Linked DNA regions of Caenorhabditis elegans. The protein of the gene in region 3 purifies or fractionates together with the protein of the main gene of each other region. This does not show direct contact. Each region holds a gene or a part of one and is shown on either strand. Other genes may lie near its edges.

Region 1 (8,813 bases), on a different chromosome or scaffold from region 3:
TTGTGCTGTTATTTCTTTTTGCAATATTCAACAGTATCTTCAAACAGAGTGAGCATTTATGGTTTCCTTATGTTAGTTTAGTAAACTGTATATTCATTTCTCAATATGTTTTGCAATTTTTATAACAGTTATCGACCATTTCTCAAGTTCAAGGCGATTCAATTCCAAACTTGCCTCCTTTTTTAAATTCTCAAGCATATGTAGCTTTCTGTTTTATTACCCATTGCAACCGGAAAGCAAGACGGAGGTAGTTTGAGTTATCAGCATTGCAGACGGTCGATGATCTCATTGAGTTTGCTTCAATACTGAACTCTGCCTACGTGAATGGGTATCTGCTTCAACTTCTGTTCATGCTAGAGCTATTTAACTAAAAAAATTAATCACAAAATGTTTCCAAAATAGATTCTCAAAGAAAGAGACTATGAGACAAATTCTGATTTTTTCAGAAGCAAAGAGTTGGCTCCATGTACATTGGTCTTTTTACACAGATGGATAATTCTGAAAATTCTAAAACTTTTGATTGAAAAACAGAAAAACACTTTTTCCGATGCCTGAACGCTGCAATAATCTAATACAAAACCGTTAAGAAAATAAAACCACAAAAATATGTCGACGTAGTGCACATTTAAAAATATGATTTTTGCAAGAATAAATTACCGATTAGGTGTTGCTCGTAATCTGCTTTGTACATATGTTGCTAATTTTTAAATATTCCACCACAATTACGACAAAAGTTGGTGCGTGCGACATTTGCAAGTCTAATGTTTACTTTTGCTCGTGAAAAGTTTGTACCTTCAGAACAGGGTGTTTTTGTAAAAATTCCAGTAATAAAATGACTTCCATACAATTTTCTGATATTTTAACTCAGTTAATTTTTTTTTCTCGTCGAGAGAAAAGTAGCGATCAAAGTTCACACAAATTGTACGAAGACCTTACAAACAAACAATTTTTAATAATTGAAATGTAAATTTTTCTGAAAACTGAATTTCAATTCAGTTTAGGGATAAACGTGTACATGCCCTAGTTTGAACATTATCCCGTTTAAGTTGATGAAGACGCATAATATAAATAATTAAAAAATACTTGGACTATAAAAGAAAACAAGTATTGCTCATTCAAAACAATTATAAGTTCTGAAAAAACGGTACAAATCACACACACAAAAGTTTTTCAAAACAAATTTTTTTCAGGACGCTCCTTTGAGGCTTCTCTATTTAAATATTAACACGCTGTGTTTTGTGCATTTAGTTAATATAAATCAGTTCTATTCTTTACTTTTCGAATGACTGTGCTTAATCAGAAATAGCCTATTAAAATCTGTACAAATTCCATGCATTCTTTTATTTTTAGTTTATAGTCAGATCATAGTAATGAAAAAACCAATAAAATCGGTTTTATCATTTGAAGTGAGCAAACTATTTGAACGGGTTTTCAACCTTCAAGTTATGGAAATAAGTTAATGTGAAACAATAAAAAAATTAGAGAATATCTAGAAATGTCAAACAATAAAAAAAATTCTAGAAAATCTAGAAAGAATTCTAGAATAGTTCCGAGGACATCTTAAAATAATCATGTAAGATGAGATAAAATCGTAAAGCTAGGAAAAATTACTGATATTAAAAACTGTACTTTTCTATCAAAGTCTTGATTCGGTCAAAACTTCTCGAATCAAGAGTTTAAAATATAACAATGACAGTTAGAATCATTAGACTGCAGAAAAACTTAAAAATCAACATTAACTGGGGAAATTGCAATTCTGAAGAATGTATTTTCACTCAAATTGAGCAAATATTTTTCTTACATTCACATCTCTAATCAAATATAAAAAATTTTCATCGTTACTAAAAAAGTCAGAAACAAGGATTCAATTTCAGCATGAATGCTGGGGATTTTGGAAACGTTTAAATTTGCGATAAGTTTTGCACCTACTCTGGAAATGATGAAACAATTAAAATATCAGATCGCACTTATATAAACAGAAAGTTGTTCCCTAAGAATGCTAAACCTCCAATTGATGTCTACCGTGCCAAAATTGGCCAATTCCGTGACGAATCCTTGTCTCGCCATTGTTTGCAGACGACCACCGCACAATTTCAGTTTTCTGAACAAAATTTCATAGAAAACGATTGTACTTTGAAATGGAAAAGACCGATGTTGCTGATTTTTCACATTATCAGCAATTCGGAAATAGTCACGTTTTGTCCAGGACATGTGCGCTAACATCACCAGTAGCCGCCCCTTTGTCGTCATCAATGAATACTGAAGAAGACTTTGGGTCGAGTCAGAGCAAGATAAAAGGCTAGGTATATTTGAAGATAAGACGTTTAATTTTCAGTTTCAGATTGTTAATTTTAACACTAATTTATATTAGTTCAATTTGCCAGCACATTTTTAAATAAACCTATATTTCAGGGAGTAAAACCGAAAATCACAAATGATGATCCTTAGGAATTGTGTATTTTTCTTTGTGGCAGCTGCACTTGTATATAGTAAGTTATTCATTTTTATTAAAAAATTAACTAAACATAAATAATTTTCAAGGCAAGCCAATTCAAAATGTTGATCTCGCCGCTGTAAATACATTCCTCACCAACCTTGCGGCTTCTGATGTTCGAACGGACTCATTGGTTACTTTGAACTACCAGAACATGGCATCAAAGAAGAGCCCAGACCACGATAACGCCAAAGACCCCCTTTTCACAACTGTAGACAAATCTGTTTTGGGAAGCAACGCGTACATCACAATTGCCAATTTGATGGTGAGTTTTGAAACGCTCTAATGAGCCGATGAATCTTAAAGGATGTCAGGAGATTTTTGGTTTCCTGGAGCAAACAGCCAGCTGAAAAATCAATATATCTGTCCAAAATTAATCAATGCCCAGTGATTTCAGCCATTCTTCAACTACGACAGTGATACCGCAGTGCCGACTTCCGCCGACTACGCTAGCGCAGTCAAAGATTTTCTTGACAACTTCATTGCCTCGGATGCTGTCAAACAAGCATGGACGTTCCTTCAAGCTCAAGGAGTATCTACTAGCGATCCAATTGATTTCCGTCAACAACTCTATAACTTATGGTTCCTTCCGTATGCTAGAAACCAAGCTCTTGGAAGCTGCGGATTCAAGTCTGTCTTTGTCGGAGAAGCCACTGGTACTGTCGTGAACCGTTTTGCTAACTGGGTTGGATTCTACATTCAAGAGAATGCCGGAAAATTCAATTATCATGGATGGTTCACCAAGCTTAACGTGAGTTCATTTATTTTCTGGGGTTACGTTAGTTCAATGGCAAATTATGAAACTTTGAGTTACTGATCAGTGATGGAAGTTTCGTGCGCTATCAGCACTATCAGAAGAAAAACGAGAAGACATAAAGCTTCTAGTTAAAAGGGAATAGATAAGAAATAAATGACAATCGAGTAGCAGTGATAGAGCACGTGGTGATAATGATGACGTAAAATTATTAGACTCTATCCAAGCTGACTGTTTCGCAATCGTCGAGCGTGTCGTACTGGTCGACAATTGTGACCTGGCGTCTCGGTCCAATGGTTCTTTGTTTTTTGTTGTTAGCACTTGGAGGTTTTGGCGGAAGACCTTGCTCGTCCTTTGTCCTTGACGCAGCTTCTTGGGTGCTGGAAAAAATATTTGGAGATAGGAATTTGTTAGAATTGTTTGTTTCGTTTACTCCATCATCATTAAGTTGAGACACTTGATGGTGATTTCGTTCAATGCATCGGTTTTCCGTTCCAAATCTTCCATTCGTTTTTCACAAAACTCCAAACGTTCAATGATTGACAACTTCTGTCCGGAATCGTCAAAAGGCGAGACGGTTGGCTTTCCAGTGAGCTCTAAAATTGCAGCTTCCAGTTCTTTCATTTTCTGATTGCGCTGATTTTCCCTTTCGGCGATTTCGGCTTCAATCATAAGGAGTTGACCGGCGATACGTTGGGTCTGTAAATTTAACCATTTTCTCAAAAAGCTGTCAAAGAAAAAGCTCACGTGGAACTTGTTCATTATGAAACGGAACATGACAAAGTAGTAAAAACGGAGAAGCGGACGATATTTGATAAGCAGGCTGATGTCTACTTCTGAAAACAAAAAAAATGCAAGGAATGCACCTGCGCTAAGGTTGAGCCCTGTGGCTTCCAGAGCAAACTCCGCCCAGATTGGTTACCTTTTGAGCTAAGCTCATCGACATTCTGTTCAAGAAAGTTGGTTATTTCAAATTGAGTCTCCAACTCGGATACATCAACAGAGGAGGACATCGAAGTTTCAACAGAGCTGTTTCGAGCTTCCGCAAATAGAACTCGTTTACGCTGTAATCTTTAAGACATTTTTCGAACTATCAAATCTCCTTACTATAGCCGGATCAACAACTGCTAGCGTGTCTGGCAGACTGGAACGTCGATCTTCACTTCTCTGAATGTTTGAATGTATACTTTCAATATAGTCAGACTACTTACAGTTCTTCTTAACGAAATTTTCCGTTCGGCCTTATCAAAACTATCTTGTTTTTCCAGCATCGGCTTTGCCATGCCTTTAAACCCAAATTTTAGTATTTCAGCCGTTACCGAGTTCTGATGCGTGAGAGACTTCTTCTTGATAGGACGTTTTCTAAATTTAGATGAGTTTTCGCATGAAAGCGTTTCTTAGAAAAACCAACTTCTCCAACTTTTCCCTTAGTTTCTTCGCAAGTACTCTATTCTGATTAATACGCTCCTCGGTAACATAGAGCTTGTAACAGACATGCACGAAATATGTATAACGACGAGGAGGTTTCCAATTCGTGGCCAAATGATATCTCCACCAGCATTGAATAGTTGAAGCGGCCAGATTTCGTAATCTGTTCGTCTGTTGGTTTTTGTTTTCTTCTTCCATCATCAACGTGAGACCTAGAAAAAAAGTCAATTCAGTGGAATCTAAACCTTTCAGAGAAATCTTAAATGCCATTTTCAATTAATCACGCATTTTACTAGGATTTCGTGCTGAAAACCGACAAGCCGGAGAAAAAACATCAAAGCATTTACTAATGGAGTTGACAACTTCTTCCAGAAACTGCACGTCTTTTCTCATAGGCTTAGAAATTTTCCAAAGTCAAGCGATACACAATTTGAAAAATTCTGTGGCAACAAAAATGAATAACCAAGTTGGTAGCTTAATGGGAACAGGTTCACTCACCAACAGATATTTGGGTATTAGCAGCCTGGAATGTGCAAAAAGCAATGAAGCCAAGCACACAAACCAGAAACTTGGTAAGAGCTCCAACCGGATATATGTCACCATATCCCACTGTCATGACGGTGACAGCAGTGAACCACCATGAATGGGCCATTGTTGGAAACGTTGCGTCTATAAAGGCGATTAATAAAATAACAATGAATATAATCAACTTACTTGTTCCCTCGGGTACAATAAGACCGTATCCGTTGTCTTGAATTCCTTGAGCTAATGCTTCAGTAGAATATACAATGGTTGCAAGACTCAATCCGACAACAAGAGTTATATAATAAGTTGCCATGAGTTGCCATCTGAAAATTTTAAGCTCGCATGCAATACATAACAAAAAACTAGAAACTGGAATAAAAAACTCACTTTCCGAGTATAATCATTTTCCTTAGCAGTTTCCATGTAGCCATTTGGCGATCGACATGGAAAAGTCGTAAAATCTGAATAATGACGAGTTGGCGCAAAGAAAATGGCGTAAAACAGCAGAGTCCCATTAAAATCGTACTAGACAACCAACCTGGATGAAACGCAAGGTATCCAAGGTGGAACCGTCGACATCATGACCCTTGAAAACGAGCAAGAGAATTGTGGCTGGGATGATGAGAATGTCAATAAGGGTAACTGTGTGGAATAAGTAATATAATCGACCTGAAATTTGAAATATTCAGTTATTACTAACAGTTGGAAAATTACCATATTTAGTTCTGTACTTTGCATCTGCTCTAACAGACCATAACCTTACAGCAAATTCCAGGATAAAAAATACTATCATGAAAATTTCAAGGAAAAAGTGAATTTTTGAGACAGTACTGTCATTGTCATTTGTAGCAGCTCCCAGTATAATATTTGCAATAACTAATCCAAAAATAACTGAAAATCGATAATTATCATTAAAAATCATGATTTCTAAACTCACAAAAATGATATGGCGCTGACGCTGCATTCAATGGTTTTTCAAGGAAGTTATACACTTTCAACCGGATACGACGGAGATTCCTAAAATGGATTACAAATTTTCGAAACAAAATTATTAGGGTCTGGTACCGTTGCCTTTGATTTCCAAGATTAATAGTGGATCTTCTACGGATGTTGTCCGAGACTTCAGTTTCTGAATCTTCGGCATCGTCGATAGTCAGGGAGTGCATAGAAATCGCAACAATATGAGCACCAAGCGTCACTTTATTGCCATTTAAACGTGTTAATTGATAACAAACATTGGGGTGTTGGAAGTCAACTGATAACGCAACGTATTTTGGCATTAATTCATTGATTTAATTTTCCATTTTCAGGGCATTGCCATTGACCTTCAATTTGTTGCTGGAAGTGATGAAGATTTGGAAACTTCCTTCCTTCTTAACTCTTCCCCAACTTTTGAATTTGCTGCATATACCGTTGCTGCCCTTACAAATACCCAACCATCAATTCTCATTCAAGGAGAGGAAATTGACATTCAAGCTCCAACATTGAGTGTTAACAAAGCCACCGTGGTATGATAATTTTTACATTGAGTTTTTTTCAGAAGCTAAATGATTTTGTGTTTCAGCTCGACAAGGTTGTGATTTCCTTCGGATCCAGCAGCAAGGCTACCACAAAACACGCTGGGAGTGGAACCACCAAGCACAATGGTGGATCCACTGATGCTGCCCTTCAAACTTTGGTTGATAAGATGTGGGGAGATGATCAGGATAGACCATCTGCCACGCAAGTTACTATGAATTGGGGAGAACATATCAGTGGAAAGACCGGTACCAAAGGGGCCAAGTAAGAGATTGGATTAATTCCCAAAAAAAAAAGGTTTTTTCCAGTTTGTTCACCACTGTCGATGAGTCCATCTTCACCAAGAAACAGTATGCAGACCTTATCACAACATACACTCAAGACCTCTTCACTGCTGACGTTTGCAAAGCTGAACCAGCTATGGGAGGATTCAGAAAACAATACCTCCAAGGTGTTTTCAACACTTTCACTGCAACCCCAATGTTTGCATCGGCATTTGCTTATCTTCAATCGATCAACTACAAAGAGACTAGCAACTTGACCAACTTCAAAACCAAAGTTTTGTGGCCTTTGTGGTTCGGAACGTACACGCGATGCAAAGGTCCACTTGGTAGTTCGGGTATGTTTGACTTACAAACAACACACAGTTCAGCTCAGAAAATAATGTGACATTTTGTGTTGACATGTGTGAACAAACTAAAAACTACTGTTTGGCTACAAGGTCTAACATTCAACTATTTGTAGGATGGGAGCATGTATTCTCCGGTGAGATCAAGAGCAACGAAGTCGATGGACAACACGACTGGGTCAGATACTACACAGAGCAAAAAGCCGATAAAATGGTTTATGATGGTTATTACACTCATGATGAGGTACCATATTTGAATTTCATGAAAATTTGCAAAATGAGAAATTTTAGAACTTAATCGGAACATTCCAATACAAATGGAATGGAGCCTTGAAGCCAAAGGGTGGATTTTTCACTGGAACTTCACCAGGTAACATTTTTATTTTCATCAAGAACCGCAAATAAAATAATATTGCAGCATTCGATTTCTCAATCCTATCTGTTTGTGCACTTGCCCATGGAAACGGAGGAAACTGCCACTTTAAAGTTACCAACTATCCTATTACTGTTACTTCATATCTTCAAGATTGTGGAGATGGTTCTGGAACTTGCTTGGCCACTGCCTATCCAGGATAATTTATGACTTGTTCTTGTGGTTTTTATGTAACAATTACAATAAATTGATAATAAGATTAATTTTAAACTGAGAACTATTAACCCGAAACCAAAGTTGTTTTTGTATAAAAATCAAAATTTGAAACCATTTCCGAAAAGATCTTGAATGTCAAATCAGCCAAGATTTTTCTCAAGACAATAGAGCTGTGAACTTTTTCACTTTTTGAAATTGACATTAACAACTGGATCTGGAGAGAAAATAATTGTTTTTTTCATAATGTTTTCTCTAGTATCTGATACTACTGTTTTGCTTAATTTCTGAAATATAACTTTAAAATCACGCGATGCACCTTTATTGCAATGATGACTGGAAATTTATCAATAAAGACAATGGAGACATTTAAACCAGTAAAAATGGTAATTAAAACGAATAACATTTACTACCATTTCGTTATTCGGACCGTAAATGTTGAGAATCTGTTTTTGGTTTTCATGAAATGCTGATATTGGATTTTAAATAAAATACATGAATTGAATATCGCTCTACGATGAGATTAAATGCACTACGCATGGATTTGATATTATGCAATGTTGAACTTGAATTTTGATCTTTGATTTTCCATTGTTCATCTCTATTTTTCAGTTTCTATTGCGTCGATCCGTTCGGCAAAGACGAATACGTGTTGTTTTCTTCCGATTGATTCAATGGTTGCATCTCAACAGTAAGGTCTCCGGTAGCACTTTGATCGCCCAGTTCCTGAAAAAAATGAAATTGCATAAATCTTCTTGATTCAACTAACCTTCAATGGTGAAAATAGCGTCCTTGAAGCAACGACGCAAGTGGCGATCGAAAGAAGGAACTCGAGAATCGCGGCGGCGATGAGGCCGGCATCGAGACGATAGTCGGTTCC
Region 2 (4,116 bases), 1.8 Mb from region 3:
GGTTTATTGGTGCTCGGCAGTTGCCTGTCTGCAACGTCACAAAATGAGACAAAAGAGCATGTTCTACTAATTGTTTCATTAAAAATTAAAAATAGGATGTATAATTATTTCAGTTAAAACAATTGGAAAAAATTCTCAAAAATTGTCAGAATGTTGAAAATCGCCACAAATTTTCAAAATTTATTACCAGCAGTTTTTAACTGTCGGTCAGTTGTTGAGTGTTTTTTTTTTGTGGCATCTAGATGGGAAGAAAGATAAAAACGCCGCTTTCTCTTTATTTGACAAAAAATACAATAAGAAGTTCTAGTTCACAAGCTTGGCGTCTTTTCCACAAAATTGAACGTTTCTAATCTTTTTTCCATTCACAAGCATGGAGATATCCATCACTTTTTGCGAGTTTTCGTCGAAAAATACAAGTTGAACATCAAGAGATCCATCTTCGAGACGTTGTTTCACATAGACCTGCAACATTTTTATGAGAGGAATTATTAGATGGTGTTCAGGCATACTACCTTCATTGGCAATTTCTTCACAGTTCCATCGTCATTATTAATCAAGTAATGATTGTCCAGAACAAGAGCGCCACCTGATGAATTATTAGATTTTTTGAACGTCTGAAACAGTAATTATTGTTGAGTTGGGATAGCTTTCCGGCTTACAGAAGTTGTCAACTCAGTAATTGTAGTGGTCTCCGACTTTGTGAAATTCGAGGAAGACGTCGCCTTTTTAGAATTCGACACCGACGCCGAAGTATACGGACTCGTTTCACCGGCGCACTTTTCCTGGAAAATGCTTTGTTTTCATGGAAAAGTAGCAGCAGACACCCACCGAACTCTCGTAAGACAGGGACGGAACATCGAAATCAATCGATTCGGCGCGTCCGAGTTGCTTATTGTAGATCATACGTGGCTTCGACGAGTTTTTCAGTGTCTCATCCATGCATGTTTCCTCGCACGAAATCAGCTTCAGGTTATTTTCCGAAGGCGGTGGACGGGGCTTCTTGTCAACCGGCTTGGGGATTTGCATCTGAAAATTCCCCAGTCAGTTGTCACGTCATTTAATTCAAATTTGTTAATTGCTTTAGAGGTTATCCTCTTTTAATTTTCATACCTTCAACTGCTGGACCTCCTCCATGCGTCGAGCCTCTCTAATCAGCTTCTCGTTGTCCATCATTCGATTCACGTGTTTGCCACGTTGCAGCAGTGCCCGAATCGCTTGATCCAAATTGTCCATCGTTTTGACTGTACAATCGCAATTCACGCATTCCATCCTTTTCGCTTGCTTCGAATTTTGAAAGTTAAGGAATAATTGATTTCTGGTTTTGAATTGTTGTTTTGATTTTTTTCATTCAACTTTTCAAACAAATTAGGCTACACGTTTAAATGTTCAATAAATTTTCCATTGGAAAGTTAACGTTAAAAATTAATTGTAAGAACATATGTGAAATGAGAATGGTGCAGTTGTAAAATGTCAAAAAAGTGATAATATGGTTCGAATATTAGGAATAAGGGAAACCCGAATTGAACCTTTTGAGGTTTAGATTTCAAAAATTTCCAAATTGTTTCCAAAGGTTTAACTTCTCTTAAACAACGCAAAATTATCAAAAGTCTGCAAAATATAGATTTTAAAGCAATTGTACATGTCTCGAGAGTAGTGAAAACTGCACTGAAAAAGTTACAGATTGAAGTTTCAGGGGTTGAGCATGAAGCTTTGCCGTTTTAATCTTAATACATTTTCCTATAACTTATTTTTTGTAGTTTAGATAGAATTTATGATTTTTAAAACTCAATACTAAATTTTCAGTAATTTCCAAATGTTTTGATTTTTGAGTTTCCATCTTTACCCAACCCTAATTTACTCTTTTCTCCACCTCGTCTGCCACTTGAAAATTACCTCCGTTATTTGGATGTTGTTTACCAATTTACTGACCTTCAGAGTCGCAAAAATCCCGCCTCACTCCTTTCCGTTCCAAAATGTTAGATAACATTGGAAATGCAGAAACGCAGAGCATCCAAAAGATCATAATGTTTGTCATCATTTGGAGGCGGGAAGGGAAATGGGCGGAGCCGTGCGGACTGGTCAAAAGTCGTTATTTTTCGGCGGTTTGAGGCATTTTGGAAAGAGAAAGAGAGACTAGATGGAAAACATTCACTAGAGTCTCTTTTCTTTCTAACTTTACTATGGTTATTTCTAATTCTTTTTTAATTTTTATTTTTTAAAGATTTATATAAGATTTTACAAACTCCCAATTTAACTAAATATTTTTCAGAGAAAAATGTCGATGAACCGTCAAGAAATTAGTGATCTCTGTGTGAAGTCCCTTGAAGGACGAATGGTTGGAACTGAGGCTCAAAACATTGAGAATGGAAACGCCTTCTACCGTTATTTCTTCACCAACTTCCCGGATCTTCGTGTCTATTTCAAGGGAGCCGAGAAGTACACTGCAGATGATGTGAAGAAGAGTGAGAGGTTAGTATTAACACTGTAAACTTTTTGATATTGGTTTCGATTTTAGTTAGCAAAATTTGACGTGTTTCCTCTAATAGTAATGCACCCCACTACTTCGCTTTTGAAGGTAATAACTAGTTCAATTTTGAAGATACCAATAAATAATTAACTGCACAACAATAGGAAAAGAAATAAAAAACATTTTTCCAGGTAACAATTTTTTTAAAGCTGTTAAAATTAAACAACGGGGTGCTATATTGTAGCGTGTCTGACTAATGGAAATTATCAGCAAAACAAAACTAAATAATTCCAATTCCAGATTTGACAAACAAGGCCAACGTATTCTTCTTGCGTGCCATCTCCTTGCCAACGTCTACACCAATGAAGAAGTCTTCAAGGGATACGTCCGTGAAACCATCAACCGTCATCGTATCTACAAAATGGATCCAGCTCTGTGGATGGCATTCTTCACTGTATTCACTGGATATCTTGAATCTGTTGGATGTCTCAATGATCAACAAAAGGCCGCATGGATGGCACTTGGAAAGGAATTCAATGCTGAGAGTCAGACACATCTCAAGAATTCCAATCTTCCACATGTTTAATAGATCTGAATGTTTTGAGCCTTTATATTGTATTTGAATGAGCTTTGAGTATTATAATGATTATCTCTCTTGGAAACGTTTTTGTACAAAATAAACAAAGTATTTTGACATAGTTCACAGAAAATTAATACGTACTTGGCAACACTTTGGAACTTCAATTTATTGTCCATTTCCATGATGCAGCCGTCACATTGCATGCCATCAAAATATTTATCTTGTTTTTAATTCACCATGAACCAAAGAACCGAATATCTCTCGAACTGACTTCTGATGTTTTGATCTTTTCGTTTTCGAATTGCCTGCCAACACGTGTGAATAGAGACCAACAACATGGCACGTACACTAGCGTTTTACACTTTTTCCTCATTTTGTGTACACTTGAATTGCTTGAATTACATTAAAGCTTCCGTAAATGTTGTGAATATTATGAAGCACGGAATAAGTTTGCGGCACCAAACAAGCTTGGAATACATATCATTTGATTCGACTGGATTCGACTGAACAAAATGCAATGATTATAGTTTTCCACATTAAATAATACATTAACGAAATTTTTGGGATGCTATAAAACAATCAGAACTTACAAACTAATAAAGGTACTCTTGTGATGTAAAAAAATACAGAAAAAAAATCAACAAAAACAACTTACTATTTTGAAACATCACATGAATAGACCAATTGTTTTGGTTTGTTTAAAAATGAAGTGGCGCCAGTAGGAAATTGCTTTGAAATATTCCTATGGCATTCCAATGGCCAAATATCATTGTAAAACAAATAAAAAAATGTCAATTTTATTTGATTATTTTGAAAATTGAAAAAATGTCAGGTTTTGTCACTCTTTTTGGAAGTTGGCGGGCAAAACATAAGTATTTTTTTTCAAATTTTATGGCCGACTCATGTTTCAAATAAGAATATTCAGACACTTTAGGGATTCGAGTGCTATAGTATTTAAAATTCAAACATTCTTTGAAAATTTTAACTATGATATTTGGACATTTCAGCCCGTAGTTTTAACTATTTTCCAAATACTCATACTCCACCTTTTTCAGATCACTTATAAACT
Region 3 (7,997 bases):
AAAAGCCAATTTGCCGAAAATCAATAATGTTGGGCAAATCGGCAAAAACCGACAAATTGCCGGAATTGAAAATTTCCGGCAAATCAGCGATTAGCCGCCCACACCTGATCTGTAATAGGAACTAAAATGTCTACTATGTACTTTATATAGTTCATACTTCACAGCACACACACACACACACAAATGTACACTTCATAATGACGTGATTAATGATGTTATTGGCCAGAAAAGACGAGTTTTTGTTCGGTTTTTGTTGGATTCTGCTGGGCAAACTGAGATGGGATCTAGTTAAGTTAACGGGGGGTAATAAGCAGAGATCACTCAATAGGTTATACTGTTTTGTTGATTTTTTTTTGATTTGCGCTTTTATTTGAGTGTGGTGGAAGACGCGGAGGAGCTGATAAGTGTTCTGTTTTCATGCTTTTCCATCGATTTTTCTCCTTGTCCTTCGAGAGGTGTTTCGATTTTTTGTTTGGCTTTGAAAACTTCTAAAAAATCTGAAAATTTAAATGTTTAACGAGTGTGTTATATAAAAAACCAAGATTCCCATAGTTTTGGTATGATCTACATTGTATTATTTTTACTATCCTACCCGAAAGGTCTCTAGGCACGCCTGTAGGCATTCCGCAATGCCTGGACAGCTTAAACATTGCCACAACCCGTAAAGTTCAAGGCTTTGGGGTTCAACACATTCTCTGTGTCAATGACGTCATCCAAAGAGAATCTGGGTTTCCACTTCTTCTATCTCTCGTTTTTCTCGCTACTTTGTTTGCGTCTACGTGAAAAATACAAAAGAAAAATGAAAAAGTTTCACCGCCTCAACCAGCTGTGTGTGCGTGTTCCCCATTTCAGACTTTGACCTCTTCTGTCCTTTTTCACATCATCATTGATCTTCGGTCATCACTGTTATCAACTATTCAGTTTATTCAACCAATTGATTGATGGCCATGCTTGTTCCAGCAACCCGATTGATCGTGTGTGTGTGAACGGTTTGAATAATCTTCAGATCAAACTTGAGAGATCAGTTCGTGTCCGGTGTCATGTTCGTCCCGGTGTCATGTCTTTAGTTATTTGGTTATTTAGTTTTATAGTTCTTCAGCCATGCAAACCCATTCTCTGATTTTTCAACGACATGCTGTGTTGTTTATTGATTTTTCTTTGACTTCAGTTGTTAGTGCGATAGATATAGAGTGGGAATTCTGCTTTAAAATACCCAAAGTTGTCTGAAATTCAGAAATACCTGTAATTTTCCAAACATTGCAAGTTTTTTTTTGGAATTTTCAGAATTTCAATTTTAATCGGCAAAAATTGTACGCATCCTATGAACGTTCCTACATCTATTTTGAAAAGTAGGCAAATTTCTCCGGTAAGAAGACAATTTGCCGAAAATGAAGATTTCCGGCAAATCGGCAAATTGCCGGAATTGAACATTTCCGGCAAATCGACATACTGCCGGAATTGAAAATTTCCGGGAAGCCGGTAATTTTCCGAAAATGAAAATTTCAGTCAAATCGGCAAACCGGCAATTTGCCGATATTTCTGGAAATTAAATTTGCCGAAGATGAAGATTTCCGGCAAATCGGCAATTTGCGGAATTGAACATTCCCGGCAAATTGGGTCAATTGCCGGAATTGAAAATTTCCGGCAAACCGGCGATTTTCCGAAAATGAAAATTCACGGCAAATCAGCTAATTGCCGGAATTGAAAACTTCCGGCAAACCGGTAATTTTCCAAAAATTAAAATTTCAGGAAAATCAGCAAACCGACAATTCGCCGAATTTTCTGGAAATTAAATTTGCCAAAATTGAAAATTACCGGCAAATCGTCAAATTGCCGGAATTGAACATTTCCGGCAAATCGGCAAACTGCCGGAATGGAAAACTTCCGGCAAATTGCCGAGTTTACCATAAAATAAATTCCTGATCTTTACAATGAACCTCTAATGTTATGCCTATAAGAAATCCCACGTGATAGGCTGTGAACATTTTTTTGCGGCGTTGCTTTTTCAGAATTTTGCCTGAAACTGGCATTAATGTCTTCTTCTTCTTGACCATTCTGCTTCTATTTTCGTTCTCTCTCACCGAACATCGATCAATCAGAAATTACAGACGCTTCCTCCCTCAAACTCCTCTCATTTTTCTTACTTCTGTTGTTTTTTCCCCGTCTTCACTCATCAGGTGACCCCGTTGCTGACTCTTTCCCGATGAGCTTATTACACTTTTGTTCATGCATTCTTCTTATGATCCCCCCACCCTCTTCTGAACTCGTAATAATATTCTATACATTTTATCGATTAATTTCAGGAGTCGGGCCGGGCACAAACGCGCATGTATTAACTCTCCCACGACGAATCGACTACAATATATAGTAATCAAAACCGAAAGTTTCTAAAATTCCGGTGAACAATCGTAAAATGGTGGCCGGTGTGAGATTACTCGCATACGGACGACTTGCAGTTAGAGCCGTTTTCTCGGCTTCTGCTCTAGATCTTGGTGAGTTTTGGGTCCCGACGCGAAAATCGGGGATTTTTTTTTGGAAATTACATAGTTTAAAAAAAAAAGGAACTGATAACTGAAACGCGAAAAAATAATTTCAGACCTAGAATTTCTATGTCAAAAATTACAACATTTTTACTCAAAGTACAGCAGAACATTTTTTTTATAAATTCGGCAATTTTTGAATTCCGGCAACTTACCGATTTGCCATTTTTTTGCCTGGATTTTGTAATTGAATTTATTAGTAACATTAGCTGGAAAAATTTTCGAGAAATGTTATAATTTAAAAATAAATTTCAAATTTGAACCCCAGTAGGAACCCCATTTTTCTCAACAAAAATTGAAAATTTCCAGGCTCCACAATCGGCCCAGAAGCGATAAGTTCAGGCCGACGAGGGCTCTCAAGTGGCTCATCAAAACCAAAACCATCGTCAGAAGGATCTCCATCATCGCCAGCTCCGAGTGCTCACGTGGAAAATGTGATAGCAAGTTGTGCAGGATTTCCGAAAGATATGTTAAATGGACCATCAACTGTACTGGATAAAGGAGTATTTGGAGATGATGCATGGTTTATTTCACGATTTAAGAACACTTTTGTAGTTGGTAAGTTGGTGAAAATTGCGGCGAAAAATTTGAAAATGAAAAAAAATTTTTAATTGGATATTCGATTTTGATAGTTTCGAGAAATAGAAAAAAGCAAATGTTTCAATTTTTTTTGAAAAATTTTTAAAAAGGTATTTATATTTCATAAAAAACAACCTATGTTTGATAATTTCAGAATTTTTTCCGGTTTGTCTTGTTAAATTTTGACCATTTTTCATATTTTTAGAAAAAAAAAACATGTAAAATTGAATTTTTAAGTTACGTTTGAATTTTTTTCAATTTTTCGTATGCGATCCGATTTTTTTTTTGGATTTTGGACCAAAAATTGACAAATTCTAATTTCAGGTAAAATTTTCGAAAAGCCTTTTATAAAAACAATTTTAAAAAATCTAAGAATTGCAAATTTTGGAAAAATATTATTGGAAAAATAAATTTTACAAATAAATTATTAGTTTGAAAAATGTGAAACAATAGCGAAGAATTTAGTAAAATAACGGAAAATTCGAAAAAAAAAACTTTTTTTTTTCTAAATCCACAAACACGAAAAAGTCAAGTTTTGACATTTTGCATCGAAATTTTTAATCTTCAACACATTTTCCAGGTGTTGCTGACGGAGTTGGTGGATGGAGAAAATACGGAATTGATCCATCGGCATTCTCGCGGAGGTTAATGAAAGAATGTGAAAAACGTGTTCAGAAAGGAGATTTCGATCCACAAAAGCCTGAATCTCTCCTGGACTATGCTTTCAGAGCATCTGCAGAGGCGCCGAGGCCTGTTGGTTAGTTTAATTGATTTTTTTTGAAATTTGAAAATTTTTGAATGCAAAAGGAACTGACATAGATCCTCTTCAAAAAAATTTCAAAAAATAATTTTCAGGATCCTCAACAGCATGCGTTCTTGTCGTCCATCAAGAAAAGTTGTATTCGGCGAATCTGGGGGATTCTGGATTTATGGTTGTTCGCAATGGAAAGGTTCATTTTTAGATATTTTTTTTACTAAAGTAGAGTGTTTTAAAAACTTAAAAATTAGCTACAAATTTTTAACGAAAAAAAAAATTGGAATTTGATTTTAAAAAATGGCAAAAATAGTGTAAAGTTAAATTTCCAACAAAATTCATTTAAAAAAATTATTTTCACAAGTTTAAAAGTGGCAAATTTTAGCTTAAGAATGTCCTAAATCTACTAAAATAGCGAAAAAGGTTCCGGATTTAAATTATATATACATTTTAATACAAAAATTATAAATTTTTTCCCAAAAAATGGCGAGCTTTGCCTCGAAACCAGTAGAATAAACTAACAGACCATTTCGAAATTTGTTTAAAAATAAATTAAAATATAGTTTGGAAAAAAAATAGATTGAAAAATTTGAAAATAGGTTCGTTTAGAATGATTTTTAAAAAAAGAAAAATGGGCAATTTTGGCTTAGAATTTTGAAAATCTGCCGAATAAAAAATGAAATAATAGTATATCGAAATTGACAATTTTATCAAAAAGTTGAATAGTTGAAAAATAAGAAAATGATGGAAATTAGCCAAAATATTGCAAAAAACCACAAATTTGCACCAAAATCCTATAAAAATTTGTTTAAAAAACTGTTTTTTTTTTGTTGCAGATTGTATCAAAAAGTCGTGAACAAGTGCATTATTTCAATGCACCATTCCAATTAACACTTCCACCAGAAGGATATCAAGGATTTATTGGTGATAAGGCTGATATGGCTGATAAAGATGAGATGGCTGTTAAGAAGGGTGATATTATTCTATTAGCAACTGATGGTGTATGGGATAATCTTAGTGAGCAACAGGTGCTCGATCAGCTGAAAGCTCTTGATGCTGGAAAGAGTAATGTGCAAGAGGTTAGAGTTTTTGGATTTTGAAAAAAAAAAATTTTTTTAATTTAAATTATGCATAAATTCTCAAAATTTTTGTTAAAAAAAATAAACAATTCTCTCTGCAACTGCATATTTGGAATTATTTTTTTTTTTTCAAAAAATTTGTTTTTAATTGAAAAAATAAAAAAAAAACAATAAATAGCGTTTTTTTTTCTGGTTAATTTTGGTTTTTTTTGTTGCAAAATGCACGAAAACTGGCAAATTTTAAACCAAAATTTCAAAAAAAAAACCTCTGAAAGTTAATTTTTTGGTTTCGATTTTTTATATGTGATAATCAAACATAACTGACAAATATTCAGTTTTGTTTTCAAAAAAAAATCCGTTCTGTATGAGAAAAACGTCTAAAGCTCCGAGTTTTCCGTGTTAAACCTACAATTCCGAACAATTGTAAATTTGGAACTCTCTGAAAGTTTTCTAAATGTGACTGGAAATTATGAAACAAAAAATTTTTTCGATTTTTGTTAAAAAAAAAATTAAAAATTCACTTTTGGAAAAATATGAATAATTTCCATAAAAGTTGATTTTAAGCATAAAACCTAAAATTAAGGTACCCGGTCTCGACGCGACCGAAACTTGTAGTATGCGCCTTTAATGAGTACGGTAGTCGTCCTACTCCTCCTAGCTCTATCGCATTTTTCTATTTACTTCGCTCTAAAAGTCTGAAATTTGAAGAAAATTGCATTAAAACCAGGAATTTGCACCTACAGTACTCTTTAAAGGCGCGCGCAATGAAAACTTTCAGTTGTGTCAAGACCAGCTACCGTAATTTATCGTTTTTTTTTGTTTTCTAAAAATTTTCAGAAAAATTCAAAAAAAAAACATTCAATTTTTTTTGAAATTTTGAAATTTTCAAAAAATTCATAAAAAATTTATGCAATGCAATTAAAAAATGTCAATAAAAAAATCGCAGAAATATCGGTTTTCAATTAATTTTCCCCAATTTCCCAATAACCCCACACAATTCTTACAGGTATGCAATGCTCTGGCACTGACCGCCCGTCGATTAGCATTCGACTCAAAACACAACAGCCCATTTGCAATGAAGGCTCGTGAACACGGATTCTTGGCGCCAGGCGGAAAACCAGATGATATTACACTTGTCTTGCTGCTTATTGCCTAAAAGATTCTGTTTTTTTTTAATTTCTGAATTAGATTAGTAGTGTTAATTACTTTTTTTGTTTCTTTTTTTGCCTTCTCCTCCCACATTTACAGGTTCCACGTCCCCACCCCCTCAAGATCACCAAATATCAATTTTCGCTCCCTTTTTCTCCCCTAAAGTAGGGAAAATTATCGTTTTTTGAGATCTCCTCCTCCCTATTTTGCTCCTTTTCTCCCCGAAATTCCCCCTAACTTGTGCCTTTTTTGAGATTTTTTTATTGGATAACGCCACGTTTTCCACGTAATCGGGAGTTTTTTACACGTAATAAGGGTAATCAATAATGTTTTTTTTTCTAGTGACTTAGCGTCATTTGTGTCTTATATTGCTGACACGGTTAGTTAGTTGAGAATTAATTTTTTTTGTTTTGTTTTTTCTTGTATTTTTTAATTGTTTTGAATGCAAAAAATTACAGAAAATTTTCCCAGATTTTTAGTAATTTTTGAACCAAATTACACTTTTTTCCGGATTTTTGAGGTTTTTTTATGCTAAAAATCTAATTTTTTCAAAATTTTCATATTTTCCAGATTAACTTTTACAAAAAAATTGCTTCAGAATTTAATGTTGAGAAACAAATTTCCTGAAAGTTTTTGCAAAAAATTGATAATATCTTTAGCATTAAATAATTTTTTTCTGAAAAAAATCCAATTTGAAACATCTTTCTACTAAATTTCAAAAAAAAAACCCAAAAAAATACGAAAAAAAGTGTAATTTCCCCCTAATTTTGGAGTACTTTTGCTCTTTATCACCTGAAAACCCACGCACACCCTCAATTTTTTTCTCCTCTATCTTTTCCGTATACAATAAATTTTCTAGTCGAATCGATCTCTCCTTCTTCTCGGTCTCCGAATAAACAAGGAGACACATCACTGAGAAAGAGAGAAAGACAGTCACTTCTCTCGGGAGAACACACACTTTCCCTGCCTTTTATTTCTTGACCGATATATGGGGAAATGACGACGATCAATATTTTCAAGTCACGGATCAGAAGTCCCAGGTACCAGTTTTCAAAGAGTTTCGCGGAAAATAAAGCGAAATTTGGGTCTCCTCGTGATTTGCCATGCATTTTGATATAATTATGTGCCGAAGAAGTGATTTAAAATTATTTTCGCTATCACACGAACACAAAATTCTCGGAATGCGTATTGCACAACATACTTGGCGCGCAAAATATCTCGTAGCGAAAACTACAGTATTTCTATAAATGACTACTGTAGTGTCGATTTACTGGATCGAGTTTTTTTAAAGATGGAATATCGCTGATCGAGCCCGTAAATCGACACAAACGCTACAGTAGTCATTAAAATATATACTGTAGTCTTCGCTACGAGATATTTTGCGCGTCAAATATGTTGCACAATACGTATTCTCAGAATTTTGTATTCCCGTAATAGATTTTTAAACTTAAATTGCTAATTTTTTTCGTAAAATACAGTGCATGAAGTTGGTGTGTGCACAATTTTGAATTGCGGACTCAATGCAACATATCTGACGCGCAATTTTTCCAAACTGAAAAAAAAACCCATTTGAAAATTGCGTGAAACCACTTTTGATGACATTAAACCATCTCTCAATTTTATTTCCGGCAATTCCCGGCAAAATATGCCTCGTCATCGGAGCCGATGCACCAGATTTCACGCGCAAATTTATAGAATAATGTACGGAAGAGAATGGCATGTGTTGCTACTGTGTTCACATACATTGTTTCAAGGGAAAAAGTCAATTTCAGAGATGTTGTGATTCATTTGGCGCTGGGCGTCTCACTTGGCTACCTGATAGGTATTTTGTTCATATTTGATGGAGACAACGATATTTCAAAACATATTCATTTAATGGAACATGGTATCTATATA
Region 4 (8,782 bases), on a different chromosome or scaffold from region 3:
CACTTTTTTGAATGGTTTAGGCTCTTCAAAGAGGCAAATGGTGAAAACTATGTGTAAAACAGAAATTTCAAATTTTTAGGAGAAACAATTTGTTTAATGAATGAAGTTATTTCATTGTTGGAAGCATGAGTTTCTGATAATTAGCGTCAGTGGGGATCTTTTCCAAATGCACCAATAATGATATAAAATAACCATATTAAAACACTCCAAAAGTTTTTAGATTAAAAAAAAACTTCCAGTCAGTCAAAGAAGTTTTGGCTAGTTGCCAAATTTTGGAAAACCTTTTAAGAAAATCCAGAGCAATGTCGCAAGAGTCTACCCTTATAATGTTTTAAATCAACTAAATAGAATACAATTAAAGTATAAAAGTCGTCGAAAAAATAAATTTTTTTTGACCTGCTTCCAAAATTATGAGAGGCAAAAACTCAGTAATTGCAACTTTTTGAGAGTGAATAAAATTTCCAAAAATTTTTTTGGAAAGATTTACTATGATAGTATGCCAACTTCAATATACCCCACACTTCTTTCCGCGATATTAATCACAGACACGTGTCACCTACGTGTAATCACCGATGATCATCCAGTAGTGCATATGCCAATCACGTCAGAGTTGACGGTCTCTCATGCTCCCATAATGCTTAGCTCGATTCATTTTTCCGTGCCTTCCGGTCATCGTTTACATTGTGTTGTTGCTGCACACTGCTCAACGCCTTGGGGCGGCGCGAAAATGCGGGAGGTGCAGAACCGGAATGATTGGCACTGTATTATAAAAGTACGAGCAATGTTCCGTCGACTTGGGACATTCTCAATTACACCACAATTGAGCGTCATGTGGAAGTACGCGGTTGTCTTTTCTGCTATTTTTCTCATCCGTGAGTAGGCTTTTTCATTTCTAATTCATTTTATTGTTTTTTTTTAATTTTAGATATTGTGGATGCTGGCTTCCAAATTTCACAGCTCAAACCATTGTACAAAGAGGATAATATTACTATCAGTGAGCTTTCCACAGCACTTGGAGCAGCCTTTCCACCATGTTGCTCCGATATCATTTCGAGCATTGCCTGTAGAAGACTTCAACAGCACAATCCTTCGAAGTTCCTAGACAGGTTGGTTTTTTTTTAAACTTCATTAATTGTTTCAAATGCTCTCTGAAATTAAATATGAAGTTCAGATGCGCTACTGACGCTGATTTCTCTTTGATCCAATGTTGTAACACTTGTGGAATGGAAAGCGCTGCCGATAGATACGAGCTCATTTTCCAAGCCGGCCACAAATCCAACCAATGTTTCGACCGCCATGGATCAGAGTTCTGCAAGCGATTTTTGAAGAAGGAGGATGTTTGGGGAAAGGTAGGTGACGCTTTTCTAAATGTTTTCTAGACCACTTTTTTTTTGCAGTCTCAATGGTCTTGCGACGGATCGACTGCACATTTGGCGTTCCGCATTTGCAGAAAAACTTGCAACTTTTGCCGCAGAGATATTTATCGCACACCGCTCGGTCGATTTGAGCCAGTGTCTTGTGGAAAACCACCAGTTCTCATTCCGAACTAAATGTCACACTGGAAACGTAATTTATTCATTCTTATTTTTTAATATTTCTTACTCATTTATTTATTTATCTATTCAATACTTACTAATCTGTTGTAATATATTTTCCTAATTTCATGACGAAAATTAACGAGATCTCGATCGAACCTTTTTAAAATTCCAATTTATTTATTTTAATGATTAATAAAATCTTCACAAAAAAAAAGCTTGGACTTTGAAATTCGTAAAAATGACAATCTTATCAAATGATGGACACTTTTGAGATAGTAAAAAACAGAGTGTAGAGGGCAATCTTATCTCTTCTCTCCATCTTTTTCCATATCGATCTTGTTCGATAACCAGAAAAAGTAGTGTTGTAGATAGTGCGAGCCCCATTCTAGGTCTATTACTCTCTATTTCTCACTATGTGTTCTCGATTTTTTGGCCAAAAACGTTCGTTTTCCAAATTTCTTCAAATTTCTCCACAAGTTAAGGAGGCTCTAGCTAGCGGAGAAGGAGTTGTCGCGCTGGAGAGTACAGTGATCACACATGGACTTCCTTACCCTCATAATTTAAGGTAGTGAATTGCAAATGCATTTGAAACTATTAAAAAATTATTTGCAGTACTGCAAGAAGTTTGGAGCAAAAAGTTCGATCATCAGGAAGTCATCCAGCTACGATTGCGTTATTTGATGGAAAAGTAGGTTTTTTCGCTAGAACTTGTTTCTGAAAATTTAAATTATTAAATGATACTTTTATTGCTGCCACGTTCGTTTTTCTAGCAGACTGCGACATTTTATACCAATATTTTCATATAAAACAATAATATTTTTTTATTCAAAAACTGCCAAAATTAGTGTTTCATCAACTAAAAATTCTTAGGAATTTTTGTGAAAACTTAAACGCTATAAAATTAAAAATCATTTTTTGAAAATTTTAAATAGTGTATACCTAAACATTTTCATTTTATTCAGATTCATGTTGGATTGGATGATGAAAAACTGGAACTTCTTGCTTCAAGTCAGAATGCAGTCAAAGTTTCCTCCAGGGATATCGCAAAGACACTGATTAAAGTAAGTTTGATCTACTATGATAAATTTTTCAATGTTGATTTCAGAAAGAAGTTGGAGGAACTACAGTAGCTTCAACTATGAAGATAGCACACGCAGCTGGGATCAGTGTATTTGCAACAGGTGGCATTGGTGGAGTACATCGTGGTGCAGATCAGAGTGAGTTGTTTCATGTGTTTGGTGTTTTTTTTTTGACCCGTGAAGTTTTAGGAAAATTGTTGAATTTGGACAATTTTTTTTACCATTTATTCAAGTTCTTTTTTTTCCGAACAGCAAAAAAATTTTCCAGCATTCGATGTTTCGGCTGATCTTCAAGAACTTTCGCAAACTCCCGTGTGTGTGGTGTGCTCTGGAGTCAAAAGCATTTTAGACATACCCAAAACTGTCGAATATCTTGAAACTCATTCCGTGAACTGCATAGTTTATGGGCAAGAAAATGTGTTTCCAAGCTTTTTCACTAGAACATCAGATAGAAAAGCTCAATTCTGCACTGAATCATTGGAAGAAGTTGTTCACCTGTTAAGTGAGTTGATGAAAAATATTGGTTCATGAAGTAAAGTCATGAAGTGTTTCAGAAACCTCGAAATCTCTCGGATTACCTTATGGAACTATTCTGGCTTGTCCTATTCCTGAAAAATATGCAGCTGATGGAGATGCGATCCAGAAAGCAATTGACCAAGCTGTTCAAGAAGCCATGTAAGTTAAAATTTAAATATGTTGCACTTTTTAAAAATATTTTTTGAAAAGTTCCCTGTTTTGCTTCAAAACTTTACTTTCAGTGAACAAAACATCGCTTCACAAAGTGTCACCCCATTCATTCTTGCAAGAGTGAACGAGCTCACACAAGGAGCTTCAATGGCTACAAGTATGCGTTTTGAACAATTTTTCCGCTGTTAATTGTCATTTTACAGACATTGCACTTCTCGAGAATAATGCGTCAATTGCTGGAAGACTAGCCGCAAAGCTCTGCGATAGACGTCCACTTACAATTTCACAGAGCCAACCAACTGCATCAACGACTCGAAAACCAAAAGTGGTGAGTCAAACCTACAATAAAGTTTTTTTTATTCACTTGCGAAATGTGGTATTGTTCTCATAAAAGTTTGAAACAACACAAGCTGTCTTAGCAAACAACCAACGCCTACTAGTTTCAATGACATTTATTTGTCAAACGTATCAAACAGATCACGACTGTTTTTCAGGTTTCTATCGGAGCAACTATCGTTGACTTTGAAGCCATCACGAGTGAAGATGTAAAGGTGAGAATGAAACAAAGAACAATTGAAAATGAGCAACAACAAAAAAAATCAGAAAAAAACATTTGGGGAATGGAGTATACCAAAAAAAAAAAAACCAAAAAAAACATGACAATTTAGAAAAGAAAAACTTTTGAAAAACACGTAAAAAATTATGATGAAAGAAACTTAGAGATTTGAGTGGTTTGCGGATTTTAAAGTGATTGAGCCGTGGAAAGTTGTCTGAAGGGGACCTAACGGTTCAGACATGGCACAGAAAAGTAGACACAAGTGAAACCGCCATAAAAAATTATTGAAAAAATTTTGAAAAGTTTCATTACGAAATTCGTTTATTTGAGTTCATTTTATTCGAAATTTGCATTATTAGATCAAAATTGCCCAAACCGTTTAAACTCATTTAAAAACAAAGTTAGAGAAAAATAATATACACTAGGTGAAACACTCTCGACAATTTGCTGCAACTCATCCACCAACTGCTGCAACTTTAGCAATGCCAAGCGAAGAAGTTGCTAAATTTGGGAAAAAGGTTGGATAAAATTGATCAAAGTAGGTAAACTTAGTAGAAAGTGCTTGGCCAAAGTTGTAGATATGTTTCTATAGTTCGTAGAAACGTTGCAAAAGTTGGTGTATAAGTTGTGACAAATTGCCGAACTAGTAAGATTCATCAAAATATTATTTTACCAACAACATCTCTTATACCAACATCACACCCTTGCAAACACTTTCACAAAAACCCCTGAACTGTCGGAATGAAAAAAGGAGAAACTGAACTGAACCCCCAAAAATTAAAACTGTTCAGTAACAGCAGCCGCCTCAAGTTGTCGTGCATTATGAGCAGCAATCGCTTGTTGTAGCTCTTCCCGAATTTCATCCCCACGGACCGTAAATTCGTTCTCCACCTCCTCGATTACAGAGTGCTTCAAGAAAGGTGAATATCCTGGGAAACTTTTAACGCGGCTGATTCCTGATGTTTGGGTTGACGTGCTGTCAGCCAAGTTGATATTGCTCTTGAAGCTCTCGATGTAACCATCTCCATGGCGGTCACTGAAATATAATTGTTGATTATTAATGCTCCTCAAGTCATAGTTATTACTATTCATTAATCATCTGAGAGTAGTATTCAAGTTCCGCCATTTCTGTTTCAACTTTCTCGATATCTTTTCGAAGAGCTGCGATCATGAACAACTTCAGCGGCGTGATCACACAAAAAGCAAGACATCCGACTATTTCTGTATTGGAATGGAGCCATCTGCAAGATTTTTTTGTTCATATAATTTCAGTTTTTCCTGAAAGATATGTTACCTCTTGAGATGAATATAGCAGTCATTGGAATGTCCAGTTGGGCAAAACGATTTTGTAACGTTTAGAAAATCTGAAATACAGAATTTTATGAGGGGAACAACTGTAGAAACTAGATACCTGCACATGTTTGTAACACTTCTTCGGGTGGGCAGCAAATCAAAGTCTGATAGACGTTATCCCAGACAGAGCATAGTTCTTTCTGAAAATTAATAACACGTGTTAAAAAATTACACAATTTATCAAAATTTTGCATGGTGATATTGAAAAATCTGAAAATGTTTTCAGTGTTCTAGTATAATTTTCAGCATTTTTGGACTATAATAAATGTAATTAAAGTTGATCATAATTGCAACCGAATGTATTCAAACTTTTTGAAACAATTTAGCAATAAGAACTGCGCCGGGAGCGGAAAAGTCATGAGATCCCAAATTCCACGTATATGTGCTAAAATGTGTAATCAAGACCATCTGATTTTTTTTGGTCAGAGTGATAGACTAATAATTTGGTAGGCTGAACTAGGCTGAAAACAATGCTGCATAGGTTTTTTGTCAGTGCGAGTTTTCAAATCATTAAAAAGGAGGTCTTGTAGAAATTGGACACACTGTATCAATAATTAGTATTCCTCAATGAGTTTAATAACTCCTATTTTTCCACGTTTTGTTCTGCACAAACTGTACTGGTTTAACTTTAAAAAATCAACCTAACTGTATACTTGGTTTTTCTCCCGGATTTCAAAATCTTGAATACTTACACTGCTATTGTGAAGTACTTGAATGTGGGAATATAGCGAGGTGTGAGCTGTGGACATGATGCTTGCAAAAACGAAAACCATGACAGCATCCACAATAAGTGTACAGCACTTTATCCAATGACAAAAAACGACAACGCCAATTTGTCTTTTCCGAATTGCAACAATTGATGCGATACACAAAAGTGCCTGAAAACAATGGTTTTTGATGATACATAGTGAAACTATTAAGTTCGGAGCTTTGCACTACTCACCAAACAAATATTGATGAAGCAGTATCCAAGAACATATGGATCATTCTTTTTGATAGGAATCAGCACGAATAATGGGCTTGTGAGCATGACAATCGTGGCGCCAAGAAAGAGAAAAACGGCAAGCAGGAGTATCATATTGCTCCCATAAAGCCATGCCGCTTTACCAAACCGCATGCTGAAAACTTGTTATAATTATGGCAAAGTGATTCTGAAAATCAATGATGAAGGTACAAAAAACAGGAACGGGGAAAGATTTTTGAAAAGAAAGACGAACAGGAAAACACACACCTCGCACATGTTTGTTTCTTCTTTCTCTCTCTCTCTACGAGGATTGATTGTGAGAGAAACAGTGCTGATGGCTCGTCTGTATGATTGATGAAAAGTGGGAGGCCAAGACAAAAAAAGAGAAAGAACAAAATAAAATAAATGAAAACTGTGTGGCAGAAGCTTCCGGCACACTGCCAATCGGAGAGCAAGCTTTCTGATTCATTGCTATTTGAACAAAGTATCAATGCGCTACTGTCACACATTTAAGTGATCGCTTCAAAGCACATAATGTTTTTTTTTCTAAAGAATTGAGATTGAGAATTTGATATTGAACTCCAATATATATAATATCCGGTAACACTTAAATGATTTCAGGATGATGGCGGCTCATACAACGGACAAGTGGTACAGCGAATGGGAGGAGTAGCAAGGAATCACGCGGATGCATTAGCAAGGTCAGAAATACTCGTAAATTAGAATGTCATCGCTTGTGCGTCGCGCTAAAAGACGCACCACCACTTTCACTTTTGGCACACAGTTTTCATACATTCACAAGAAATCGAAATGATATGTTTTTCTTCCTGACCATTTTTGTTTTGAATTGAAGAAAAAAAATTGCTAAGAATTTGTAGCGTGGTCAAAGTACAGTGCATATTGGGATAAATAATTGGAATGATGTGAAAATGTAGTGTTCAAATGAGGGGTGGGTAATTGCCGTTCGGCAAATCGGCAAACTTGCCGGAATTGCTCAACTCCGGCAATTTGCTAATTTGCCGTTTGCCGGTATCAGTTTGCCGGAAATTTCTAAAAGGATTTTCGATAAGGCGAAAACACTGAACCGTGCCATTATGAAATGTTTTCCTGTTTTTGAATTATATTCACATATAAATTGCTTACTTTCAAAATAGATGTAGGGTGATCCGTAGGATGCGTACAATTTTGCGGTTCAAAATTTAAATGTGTATAGAGTTAAAGAAAAAATGTGTAAAACCTTAATTTGCCGATAATTTTTGGCCATTGCCGTTTTCTGGCAAATTCGCCGATTTGCCGAATTTGGCAAAAATTTGAAAAACAGCAATCCACCCCCGGTATACTAAACCAAATACAGAAATACAAAATGTCATAAAACTAATCAAGTCCATTTGCATTTATGGACTTGTGGCTTTCATTTTTTGTTCAAACCAAAAGCACAAGCGAGACCTTTTAACTTCTCATCACATCAAGATAGTACAATGTCACTGTAAACTTCAAAGATGACCGACAACACAATACCACCAAACCTGATGCTCAAACGAAAGTAAATGTTGCCGAGGTATTTGTGTGGATCGCAAAAGAGCGAAAAAGTAATTTGAACTCGGTCTCTTTGGAATTCGATTTTTTTCTGCTCTTATTTTGACAAACATCCCAAGATCGTTGTTCAGTTTTGTAATTGTTTTGTGTACGATCAATTGTTTGATTGACTTTTGTCTGATAGTTTTGCACTTCAATTGAACTTTAACTGTATTGCAGGCTTGAGCCACGGCGCGCAAAGTGCTTGATTTGAAAATAGCTTTATCTTAAAATATATTTTTTATTTCAGGCTTGGATGTGATTCAGTTTTCATTTCTGCTATTGGCGATGACAACAACGGACATTTCTTCAGACAGAACAGTCATAAAATTGTAGGAAATTTTTTTGTTGTTTCTCATGGAAATTTTCGTGTCGTTTAGGATATTAATCGAGTAAAGATTATAAGCAACAAACCAACTTGCACTTATTTAGCAGTCAACGTGAAAGGAAACGTGAAATATGGAATTGTTACTTGTGAGCCACTTCTGAGTGTCATTACTCCGTCATTGGTGGGTATAATAGGATACGAGGCAAAAAATAGTTGTTTTTTCAGGTTGAAAGCAATGAAGATGCATTGGAATCATCAGATTTCATTCTTCTTGATTCAAATCTATCAGTTCCAGTTATGGCCAGAGTTTTAGAAATTGCAAAGAAACATGATAAACAAGGTATGGTGACTTACATAGAATTAACAAAAACAGACAAAAATATACAAGGCTTCAGTTTGGCTCGAGCCCACGGACATTGACAAAGTGAAAAAGGTGTTCGACACAGGCTTGGTTGGAGCTGTAACTGCCGCATCGCCAAATGCCAATGAGTTTCTGAAATGGGCTAAACTCTGTCACGTCTCCGTAGATCCGTCGGTCATTGATACAGCCGATGGTGTGCTGGAACTTATAGAAAAGGAGAAAACTAAGCTGCTACTCAATACTTCCATTTTTATTGTGACATTGGCGAATAAGGGATCGGCAGTGGTATATAGGTAGGGTATTTTGCATTTTCTACAAATTGCCAAGCTTGAATTTTAAAA

What was found.
Region 1: the proteins of W09D10.4 (region 3) and endu-2 fractionate together in Caenorhabditis elegans (co-fractionation; one large-scale study listed by BioGRID). This does not show direct contact.
Region 2: the proteins of W09D10.4 (region 3) and glb-1 fractionate together in Caenorhabditis elegans (co-fractionation; one large-scale study listed by BioGRID). This does not show direct contact.
Region 4: the proteins of W09D10.4 (region 3) and T24C12.3 fractionate together in Caenorhabditis elegans (co-fractionation; one large-scale study listed by BioGRID). This does not show direct contact.

The regions. Positions count from the first base shown.
Region 1 is NC_003284.9:8,239,889-8,248,701, forward strand, and holds endu-2 (EndoU domain-containing protein), read left to right. Parts: upstream 1-2,412; 5' UTR 2,413-2,434; coding exon 2,435-2,489; intron 2,490-2,541; coding exon 2,542-2,759; intron 2,760-2,891; coding exon 2,892-3,245; exon of another isoform or gene 3,246-3,459; coding exon of another isoform or gene 3,460-3,628; intron 3,629-3,681; coding exon of another isoform or gene 3,682-3,947; intron 3,948-3,995; coding exon of another isoform or gene 3,996-4,084; intron 4,085-4,170; coding exon of another isoform or gene 4,171-4,312; intron 4,313-4,355; coding exon of another isoform or gene 4,356-4,415; intron 4,416-4,459; coding exon of another isoform or gene 4,460-4,610; intron 4,611-4,659; coding exon of another isoform or gene 4,660-4,888; intron 4,889-5,174; coding exon of another isoform or gene 5,175-5,345; intron 5,346-5,390; coding exon of another isoform or gene 5,391-5,524; intron 5,525-5,588; coding exon of another isoform or gene 5,589-5,662; intron 5,663-5,739; coding exon of another isoform or gene 5,740-5,870; intron 5,871-5,915; coding exon of another isoform or gene 5,916-6,092; intron 6,093-6,138; coding exon of another isoform or gene 6,139-6,218; intron 6,219-6,266; coding exon of another isoform or gene 6,267-6,481; intron 6,482-6,511; coding exon 6,512-6,709; intron 6,710-6,765; coding exon 6,766-6,983; intron 6,984-7,027; and 9 more. Other genes in the region: kqt-2 (Ion transport domain-containing protein), read right to left, coding at 3,460-3,628, 3,682-3,947, 3,996-4,084, 4,171-4,312, 4,356-4,415, 4,460-4,610, 4,660-4,888, 5,175-5,345 and 6 more; M60.6 (Tetraspanin family protein), read right to left, coding at 8,549-8,659, 8,703-8,813.
Region 2 is NC_003281.10:8,921,444-8,925,559, reverse strand, and holds glb-1 (Globin-like protein), read left to right. Parts: upstream 1-2,269; 5' UTR 2,270-2,275; coding exon 2,276-2,469; intron 2,470-2,767; coding exon 2,768-3,053; 3' UTR 3,054-3,161; downstream 3,162-4,116. Other genes in the region: ZK637.12 (uncharacterized protein), read right to left, coding at 304-462, 513-614, 660-782, 829-1,026, 1,111-1,269. UniProt on the Caenorhabditis elegans protein: May be a globin and may play a role in oxygen transport.
Region 3 is NC_003281.10:10,710,498-10,718,494, reverse strand, and holds W09D10.4 (Protein phosphatase), read left to right. Parts: upstream 1-2,303; 5' UTR 2,304-2,413; coding exon 2,414-2,492; intron 2,493-2,849; coding exon 2,850-3,098; intron 3,099-3,699; coding exon 3,700-3,876; intron 3,877-3,974; coding exon 3,975-4,069; intron 4,070-4,709; coding exon 4,710-4,952; intron 4,953-5,958; coding exon 5,959-6,108; 3' UTR 6,109-6,965; downstream 6,966-7,997. Other genes in the region: W09D10.5 (N-acetylgalactosaminide beta-1,3-galactosyltransferase), read left to right, coding at 7,098-7,141, 7,874-7,986.
Region 4 is NC_003284.9:2,197,009-2,205,790, reverse strand, and holds the start of T24C12.3 (Carbohydrate kinase PfkB domain-containing protein), read left to right. Parts: upstream 1-1,897; 5' UTR 1,898-1,951; coding exon 1,952-2,103; intron 2,104-2,150; coding exon 2,151-2,226; intron 2,227-2,500; coding exon 2,501-2,599; intron 2,600-2,643; coding exon 2,644-2,755; intron 2,756-2,885; coding exon 2,886-3,119; intron 3,120-3,171; coding exon 3,172-3,292; intron 3,293-3,375; coding exon 3,376-3,461; intron 3,462-3,507; coding exon 3,508-3,632; intron 3,633-3,798; coding exon 3,799-3,855; intron 3,856-4,637; coding exon of another isoform or gene 4,638-4,896; intron 4,897-4,945; coding exon of another isoform or gene 4,946-5,101; intron 5,102-5,154; coding exon of another isoform or gene 5,155-5,224; intron 5,225-5,271; coding exon of another isoform or gene 5,272-5,353; intron 5,354-5,905; coding exon of another isoform or gene 5,906-6,091; intron 6,092-6,156; coding exon of another isoform or gene 6,157-6,330; exon of another isoform or gene 6,331-6,351; intron 6,352-6,798; coding exon 6,799-6,878; intron 6,879-8,002; coding exon 8,003-8,084; intron 8,085-8,132; coding exon 8,133-8,261; intron 8,262-8,305; coding exon 8,306-8,420; and 3 more. Other genes in the region: T24C12.4 (ShKT domain-containing protein), read left to right, coding at 830-872, 926-1,106, 1,172-1,349, 1,398-1,550; T24C12.1 (Tetraspanin family protein), read right to left, coding at 4,638-4,896, 4,946-5,101, 5,155-5,224, 5,272-5,353, 5,906-6,091, 6,157-6,330.